Linked DNA regions of Sus scrofa. The protein of the gene in region 1 purifies or fractionates together with the protein of each later gene. This does not show direct contact. Links are inferred from orthologs where the notes say so. Each region holds a gene or a part of one and is shown on either strand. Other genes may lie near its edges.

The links.
Region 2: the proteins of PIDD1 (region 1) and CRADD purify together in Homo sapiens (affinity purification with western blotting; 8 studies listed by BioGRID and IntAct, with this or other methods). This does not show direct contact. The link is inferred for Sus scrofa from reciprocal best matches to the Homo sapiens genes PIDD1 and CRADD.

Annotation. Positions count from the first base shown.
Region 1 is NC_010444.4:501,843-506,192, forward strand, and holds the start of PIDD1 (p53-induced death domain-containing protein 1), read right to left. Parts: upstream 3,054-4,350; 5' UTR 2,862-3,053; coding exon 2,814-2,861; intron 2,439-2,813; coding exon 2,060-2,438; intron 1,772-2,059; exon of another isoform or gene 1,765-1,771; intron 1,630-1,764; coding exon 1,216-1,629; intron 911-1,215; coding exon 701-910; intron 616-700; coding exon 561-615; intron 397-560; coding exon 195-396; intron 111-194; coding exon 1-110. UniProt on the Homo sapiens protein: Component of the DNA damage/stress response pathway that functions downstream of p53/TP53 and can either promote cell survival or apoptosis.
Region 2 is NC_010447.5:89,477,600-89,482,135, forward strand, and holds the start of CRADD (death domain-containing protein CRADD), read right to left. Parts: upstream 2,807-4,536; 5' UTR 2,415-2,806; intron 2,074-2,414; exon of another isoform or gene 1,825-2,073; intron 1,193-1,824; 5' UTR 1,187-1,192; coding exon 889-1,186; intron 1-888. UniProt on the Homo sapiens protein: Adapter protein that associates with PIDD1 and the caspase CASP2 to form the PIDDosome, a complex that activates CASP2 and triggers apoptosis.

The DNA.
Region 1 (4,350 bases):
TCCAGGTGGGTTTCCAGGTCACTCCAGCTGTTGTCACTCAGGGTCCTGACCACCACCTCCCGGCAACGCCGTGCCCGCGGAGGCACAAAGAGCAGCCACAGACCCACCTCCTGCCAAGCGAGGGCGGTGTGAGCCTGGGGCTGGGCCTGGGTCCTCCTCCTCATCTGCCCCCCGCCCCCCCGCCCTGCTCCTGCCTGCTGGAAGGCCACCCCGTGGGGCTGCAGCTCCAGGACGCCACTGAGCAGAGAGTCGTGGGGACCTAGGGGGACAAGGCGTGGCTCCGGCAGCCACAGCCGATAGCGGACGGTAACAGGAGTCGCGGTGGCACCAGCAGGGAAACGCAGGCGGACACCGCAGGTCAGGGTCACCGAGCAGCCCAGGGGGGTCACGGCAAAGCTGCGGGAAGACGGGGTGGGCATCGGGTCAGACGGGAAGGGGCTCGGACGTCTGAGTGTGGCAGCTCTAGGAGGCCTTCAAGGCGTGAGCCAGGCATACAGCATGGACAGGGTGACAGGCTGGACGGATGCTTCTTCAGCCCCACGTATCCCCCACATCATTACCTGTCCAGGTCTGAGCTCAACAACAGACTGGGCATTTTGGGGACCACGGGTGTCCCTGTGGAAAGACAGACCACCCGTCAGGACAGTGATGACACCCGCATTCTGTCTGTGGTGGGCCCCCTCCCCACCAACGGGCCTACCTGGGGGACTGCGGGGGGTGGGGGGGCTCCCACTCAGAGGATTTCCTTGCAGGCGCACAAAGGGGGCGTCGAGCAGCTCGGGTGGCACGTCCCGGAGCTGGTTGTCCCTCAGGTCCAGGCGGGTGAGCAGCGGGAGGCGGGCCAGGCCAGCAGGCACTGAAGCCAGGAGGTTGCTGTGCAGGACAAGGAGCTGCAAGGAGCGCAGCCCCGCTGCGGACAGGCACCGGCTTAGGGCCGCGGAGGAGGGTCGGGGCCGGAGCGCCAGGCCAGGCCGCGCATGCCGGGGCCTCCTGCAGAAGCCCTTTCAGTCCCTGCCCTGCGGCAGGACTAGCAGGCTCGGCAGGCCGGCGCTGGGAGCCTCGAAGGCCGGGAAGTGGGGGGCAAGCAAGGGCCGGGAGTTGGCAAGCCCGCGTGCGCAGGGCCCCGCGGAGCAGAAAGGGGCGTCAGGAGAGAGCAGGCCTGCAACAGCCGATGGGCACTCTCCATAGGCCCAGGGAACGGAGGCTACAACTCACCAAGGGAGGCAGGGAGGCTCTGCAGCCGGTTGGAGGCCAGATTGAGCTCAGCAAGGCTGCTCAGGCCTCCAATCTCAGGGGGCAGAGTGTCTAGAAGGTTCTCAGAGAGGTCGAGGCGCTGCAGGGTGGACAGGGACCCCAGGGCCGTGGGCAGCGTTTGCAGGCGGTTGTGGGTTACAGCGAGGAAGGTGAGGGCGCAGAGGGCCCCCAAGGCCTCAGGCAGCTCTGAGAGGCAGTTATGAGAGAGCAGAAGGGCCCCCAGGCCACACATCTGCGGGACACAGGCCGGCAACGTCTCCAGGCTGTTGAAGCTCAGATCCAGGTGGGCCAAGCGGACTAGGCCATTCAGGCCAGCAGGCAGCGTGGCCAGGGAGCCGCGGAGGCAGGCGCCCTGAGCGTCCCGATGTTGCCCGCCTGGGACGGGGAAAGGCAGACACGGCCCTCAGAGCCAGGGGCCCTGGGGCCCATCTCAGCCCCATCACCCAGGGCAACAGGTGCACGGACACGCAGCCCTCCATCCCGAGTCCGCCAAGACAGGGACAGACAAACCTAGATGCTAGAGAGACACCAGCAGATGGAGGAGGCAGGAACAGACAAGGCGGGCTCATCTCAGCTGACAGCCGTCACCCATGACCTGCCCCAGGAAAAATACCCACCCTGGGACCGGCCGGAGACCCCCCACTAGGCAGCTGCTGGGTCTAGGAGCAGCTGGAAGAGAAAGGGTGGGTAGAGCCATGCAGAGAACAGTGACGGGGCTGGGACCCGGTTTGCCTTTGGGGACTGAGATGCAGAGGCAGGAGCCAGAGATGGGGCTGTGACAGAGCTGACACCGGGTGCGGCTCACCTTTGACAACCAAGGAGCGGAGGTGAGGCAGGCTCGAGGGCAGCTGGGCCAGGGTGGCCTCCAGCAGCCGAGGGTCTTCGTGGCCACTCAGCTGCAGGAACTCCACCTCCAGGAGCTGAGGGACCTGCTGGGCACACAGGTGCAGCAGCCGGTGGCAGCCCCTGGGGTACAGGTCCAGGCTCAGCCGGTTCCCGGCCAGGAGAGGGAGCGTCCCCGGCCCCACGGCCACAGCATCCGTAGCATCTCTTGCAGCATCTTCTGCAGCAGACGGCTCTGGCTCCTGCCCTCCACCACTGCAGCCATCGCAAACCGGTTGTCCTCGGGGGCCAGACATGTCCCAGCTCGCCAGGCAGGCCTGCGCAGGCAGGACCCAGGGAGGCTGTGGGGGGGGGGATGGGTAGGAGGGAGCTGGGCCTTCTCCCAGCCAGAGAAGAGGGGATTCTGGCTGGAGGGATTCTGGCCTTGAGCCGGGAGCCTAGGCTGGACAGATCATTGCTGAAATGGGGCGGGGAATGGGCCTGTCCAGGGCTGGGACGGCAGCAGGCAGCAGCCGGCGGCAGTCGCTGGGGTACAGGGCCAGGCTCAGACCTCCGTGTGCACAGGGGCCGGGGATGTGCTTGAGGGAGGGGGAGAAGTGAGGCTTCCTGCCCCAACCTGGAAACTTAGACAAGGGCCTCCTAGAGGGGTCAGATCCTAACCAGCCCCCATCCCTCTTCCTCAGCCTCTGGGCGCAGAGCCCTGGGTCCAGCCCCACCTCCAACCTTCCCGTTCCTCGGTTTTGACCGGAGCGCCCGGCACACATCCACCACGTGGGGGCGGTGCCCAGGCAAGGGCCGGGTTGACCGGGGCCCTGGGTAGGAGCCAGGAGCGGGAGGGGGGTCCTGGGGACGGGACCCCACTTCCTGGCCCCTGGAGGAGGGCTCTGCCGCCACTTCGGCTGCCAGCTGGGTCGGCAGGGGACCGCGTCGCACGGCGCAGGCGCGGCCCCCGCCGCTCGGGGCGGGTCCGGGCGGGGGAGCGCCCTCCCCGCGCCGCCCTCCCCACGCCGCGCCCGCGGGCCGCGCGATACCTGCGCTCCAGGCGGCGCGTTTCCGGGCCCCACCGCGTCCGGCGCGCGCCTTGCGCCCGGCAGGGGTCGGCGAGCAGAGGTCTCCGGGCCCCTCCGCCCGGCCTGCCCCCTACCGGTTGCCGCTCGGCTACACTCAGCTTCCTGCCGGTCCGCGTGCGTCCGTGCCGTCCAGCCTTCCCGCGGGAAAGCCCGCCTTGCGCCACCAAACCCGCCCTTTCAGAAGTTCTCGCCCGCTCTGCTACGGGCCGTGCGTTTTCCGCGCCGTGTTAAAAAGAGCTGGTGCAACCTCGGAGGAGGGCGGGCCGGGGATATTGGGGGCTGATCGCAGCTGGCGGCCCACACCCATCTCCTGACAGAAGACAGAGCTCTGAGTCTGCCCCCGGCCAGCCCCAACGGTCGCCTCTCAAGCCCTGCAGAGCCCACGTCTCAGCTCTGAAGACACTGCTTTGGGTGGGGGCCCCCACCGAGGGCTTCCTCACGGGCTGCGTCCTTCTGTCCTCTGCATCCCACAAGGGAGGTGAAGGAGGCGCTGAACGATCAGATGCTGCCCGAGGCCACTAGCTGGTGAACACCCAAGCCAAGGACCTCAAACCTGGTCTGACTCTCGCGGGAACCTTCCCCACCAGTGCTTCCTCAACTGGCAAAGCAGGTGCCTGTGGACGAATACATGGACAAACCTGCTTCTGCCTGTGCTGCTCCAAATGACACTGTGCCTCTGCTTTCCTCCCCCACTGCCCAGCCACCACCATCACTCCCATTGGGATGGCAGTTCCCCCACCAGGCCTCCACTCTCCCCAGCTCCCATGCCCCATTGTTTTGCCATAGCTGCCAGAAGAACTTTTTTTTTTTAAATCCAATCACAGGAGTTCCCCTCATGGCTCAGTGGTAATGAACGCGACTAGTAGCCCTGAGGACTCAGGTGCAATCCCTGGCCTCGCTCAGTGGGTTAAAGATCCTGTGTTGCTGTGAGCTCTGGTGTAGGTCTGCAGCTGTAGCTCCGATTCAACCCCTGGTCTCGGAACTTCCATATGTCACAGATTCTGCTCTTAAAAAAAAAATCACAGCCTTAAAAAGGAACGAAATCCTGACACCTGTTACAATGTGGACAAACCTTGAGGGCCTTATGCTAAATAGAATAAACGATACACAAAAGGACAAATACTGTGTGATTCCACTTACATGAAGTCCCTAGGGCAGTCAAATATGTAGAGACCAAAAGTAA
Region 2 (4,536 bases), on another chromosome or scaffold:
CATATGCCACGGGTGCGGCCCTAAAAATGACAAAAAAAAAAAAAAAAAAAAAAGCAAGTAAATTTTTTTTTTTTTTTTTGGCCAGTTCAGTTTTCTGCTCCTCAATCTCCGTAAAAAGTAGAAAGCATGAGAGGTGTTAAGAGGGAACAAGTGTTTCCTATCACATCTCCTTCCGACACAAGCCAGGCTGATAACCCTAGGACGGTTTCTCTTTTTCATAGCTTCCAACGTTCCTTCAAATCAAAAGGAGCCATCCCTCCCCCAAAGCACTGTCCACACCAAATTAAACACTCCAGGTGTCCAAACAAAGCCCACCTGAAAGGAAGACTTTAAATCAACAGCCTTTAAAAACAAACAAAGCCAGCCTTCCAAATAATCCCCTTTGGCCACGCAGGGTGGGCCATGGAGCAGGTGCAAGGCGTGCCTTCCTAGACGCTGTCTCCTCCTTCATGAGTCTGACCTTTTCCGGCCCGCCGCTCTGGCACCCCTCTGGCACCCCACACATCAGTTATCAGGACGCCTGAAGCCTACTTTCCCATCTGCACTTTCCAAATGGCTCCTGATGCCAAGGGCTGAGACATGACCTGGCTCTCAGAGGAGAACATGCCTCCCAAGGGACCTGCCAACTTTCCCTGGAAGCATTTCTAAACTATCCGCTGCGTTCCCGCCTCACCCTCCCAGCCATGGCCCATTGCGCCTTCCCCCGCTGCACGTCCTAGCTCCACCTCCTCATCTGGTCCCACCAACGCCAGGTGCCTTCAGCACAAACTCCGTACCCATTTTCAGGACAGGCCAACGCCCAGGCAGCCTAAAACCCCAACTTCACATCCAAAGGGCACAATTCCAACACTTTGGGAGCTGGTCTGGAGGGATCATTTTGAGGCCTACCTGCAGGCAGCTCAACTATGGCTTCTTCTCTTGCCTTCTCCAGCTTCTCCCTTACCCAAGGGAATTCCTGCAGGGAATCTAGGAATACATCGAATGCTTTAGGACCCCTGGAAGGTAGGATATCCAGCAGCAGCATTGTTTTCCGAAGGCCTGTAGCTTGAGCTTTAATTTCTTGAACGTGGTTTTCCGTCAAGATCCCTTCCTGGTAAAGATACTGGAGAACCAGCCCCTCTACCAGCACCTCTGCACCCAGCTCCAGGCGAAGGGAGCGAAGGACTTGCTTGTCTCTAGCCTCCATGTGCCCCTGGGAAAAGACAAAAGGTAGCTCAGATCACGGGATGCCTGATGAGCCCCTAAAAAGGCTCTTACAATGCAAACTCCTTAAGGTCAAGGACGTCTCTGAAAATTAGCAGAGTGCCAGGCCACGGTGTTTCATACGCAGCTGTTAAGCCGAGCTGAATTAATTTCCAATGTTCCTGAACGTGATGAACAGCCCTGAGCATGAATCATGCCCTTTGTTTTTGCTCTCTACATAGTGAGGTCCTAGCTCCAGTCTTGTTCCATAAAGAGATTGGGAAAAAAAGTGGATCAGAGACCCTACTTTAAAAGCAATTTTTTTCTGAGGATAACAGAGGAGCATTTCATTTTAGCATGCTTGAGAAGAAACAGTGCTTTTTATTTTAACATTGCCTTCATCAGAGATAACCCCATCACGGCAGAAACTGCTGATATCCATGTGGGTATCCTTTAGACCCAGGGCATGTGCCGAACCTGATCCGCAGTGGGGGTGAGGCCAGAAACCTGTGGGGGTACCATACGTTTAAGAATCTTTTTCACCAAGAGAAAAGGCCTTCAAGGAAAACATTAAACATTCCTGCCCAGTCTACAGTAAACCTTACACCTAATCACAGACTCCAGCCCTTCCCTGGAAGAATTCCAAACCTCCATCACAACACTGCCACGGCCACACATGCATGGGATATTTAATGGGTGTGTTTGTTTCCTTTAAAAGAAAAAAAAAAATGTCCACAGGCCATTGATGGCTTGCTTCCAAGACCACTGCAGCAGTGAACAGAGGGCCAGCCAGGAGAGTAAGTGGCGGAGAGGGGAGGCCGGGGCGGCCGACGGGGCTTCACAACACCCACAGAAAGTACCACCACAGCGGGCGACCCCGAGGGGCGGCAGGTAAGCAGGGCGGTGTGCACTTTGGGCAACTCCTACTCGTTTGGGACTTCGTTTTATTCCTTGCCCTGCCAGCTCAAGCTCTGTGGCATTAACAACAGGAAGAACTACGAAAGATTTTCTAGGCAACCTGACCCACTAAAAAGGGAGTGCTGGGAATGGTCTGCAGGGGAGCCCGAGGGGAGAGCGTCACCCCGTCACCCCGACCCCGCGGGCTCGGGGACGCCGCGAGCAAGTCACGGGGCGGGACGGTGGGGGGGCTTGCAGGGCCCAGGCTGCAGATGCCACGACGCGGGGTCTTTGAGAAAAGATGGATACGGGGGTTCTGGTTTCCTGTTACTTACGTCTGCAAACACGTATCTTTAAAAACAAAACAGAACAAACTGCAACCGGAATCCAGACAGTCAGGGAACCTGTACCATGGGCACCATCTTTGTTGAAGGCAAGAGCCCTGAACAGGAAGTGTTGTAGCCATCTTTGTTAAGGGCAAACACAGGAAGCGCTGTGGCCCTCTTTATTGGTGGCCCGAGTGTGTTCGGATGAAGCCTTTTCCGCCATGTTTGCTGTGGGTAAATACTGAAACCTTCTGGAGATGGAAAACGTACCTTCGCTTAGGAAAGGAGTCACTGGATAATTGTATTTTAACACAGTAACTCCACCAGGGCTTTGTACTCAATTGACGTAATAGATAGTCAGGTTTCGAAAGTTACCTTATCAGGGAGACCTTCCTTGATCACTCTTATTTAAATTTGCAACTTCCTGGAGTTCCTGTAGTGGCGCAGTGGCTAAGGAATCCGACTGGGAACCATGAGGTTGAGGGTTCGATCTCTGGCCTCGCTCAGCGGGTTAAGGATCCGGCGTTGCCCTGACCTGTGGTGTAGGTCGCAGAGGCGGCTGGGATCCCGCGTGACTCTGGCTGTGGCTTAGGACGGTGGCTACAGCTCCGATTACACCCTTAGCCTGGGAACCAACATATGCCGAGGGAGCAGCCCCAGAAAAAGCAAAAAGACAATTAAAAAAATAAATAAAATAAAATTGCAGCTTCCTCAACCATGCCTTTTAAAATTGCAATATTCACCTTCTGCCCTCCCCATCCCTCTTACAGCTTCATTTTATCTGAAGCACATATCACCATCTTACTAAAATTTTTACTTAATCATTCGTTTATCATGTTTCCCAGTCCATCCCCAACCCCTACCCCCCACTAATTGCAGTCATTCCTTTATATCACAAGGGTCTGCCCACAAAGAGTTTACAAGTCAATCAGGTAGGAATTCATTAAAGCAATCCGCGAGCTGTTCTGGACAGAAAGGCATTTGTCATGAGGCATTGAGGACTTTCACGATTATTAGAAAGACTGAAGATCTGAACATGGAAGAATGACTAGTAAACATCGGCAAACTGAATCAGAAATGGAAAGCAATTCTAAACCTCTTTGAAACGTTCTAATTTTTGTAACCACTTTAAAGTGTTACTATACCAATATGCCATTTTACTATGCCAGTGACACTATTTTTACATTGGGTGAAAAGTAGTATAATTAGCATTTTACATATGTGAGGACTGTGGAATCAAAGTGGTCAGGTGTCTTAACCAAAACCTCACAGCTAACAAATAGCAAAACCTGAGTTCATTCGCTCCGTCTGATTTCATGCTCTTTCCAGTATAGAGAACATCTCACATCCCTGTATGGTGAAAAGTCTGCTCTTCTAATGACAGAAAAATGCTAGTAAATAATTGGTGCCACCTCTACTCTTGATACTCTTGAGTAACAGGTATTGTCTCCACTCTCCTCTTCTTCTTTTGTTCTTTTGCTGTTCTTTTCTCAGAGAGTCTCCTTCTGTTTATGGACAGGTGTTAGCAACATTCCAGATAAAATGCAGAGTTCTTCTGACAATGCCAATAGCTGAGGTTACTGACTTTGGGGGGAGGAAAAAAAATTATTTTTTCCAACTGTAAAATTTGATAATTTTCAAACATATGATAAGGCTGAAACAATTATTAACACCACCAACTAAAAAAACCCATATAAAACTACCTATTTTTAAAACATGCCTAGAGTTCCCATCATGGCGCAGTGGTTAAGGAATCCGACTAGGAACCATGAGGTTGCGGGTTCGGTCCCTACCCTTGCTCAGTGGGTTAAGGATCCAGCGTTGCTGTGAGCTGTTATGTGGGTCGCAGACGCGGCTCGGATCCCATGTTGCTGTGGCTCTGGCGTAGGCCGGCGGCTACAGCCCCGATTTGACCCCTAGCCTGGGAACCTCCATATGCCACGGGAGCGGCCCAAGAAATGGAAAAAAGACAAAAAAAAAAAAAAAAAAAATGCCTTACTGATTTGTTGTATTTGGAAAGGCTTGAGATCTCCCAGGAAAAAGAAGCAGACGTTGCTGATGATGTCCAGGAGGAGCTAGGAAGCCAACAGTCAGTTCTGTGTCAGCTCACGAAAGAGAAAAGAGAGTGAGA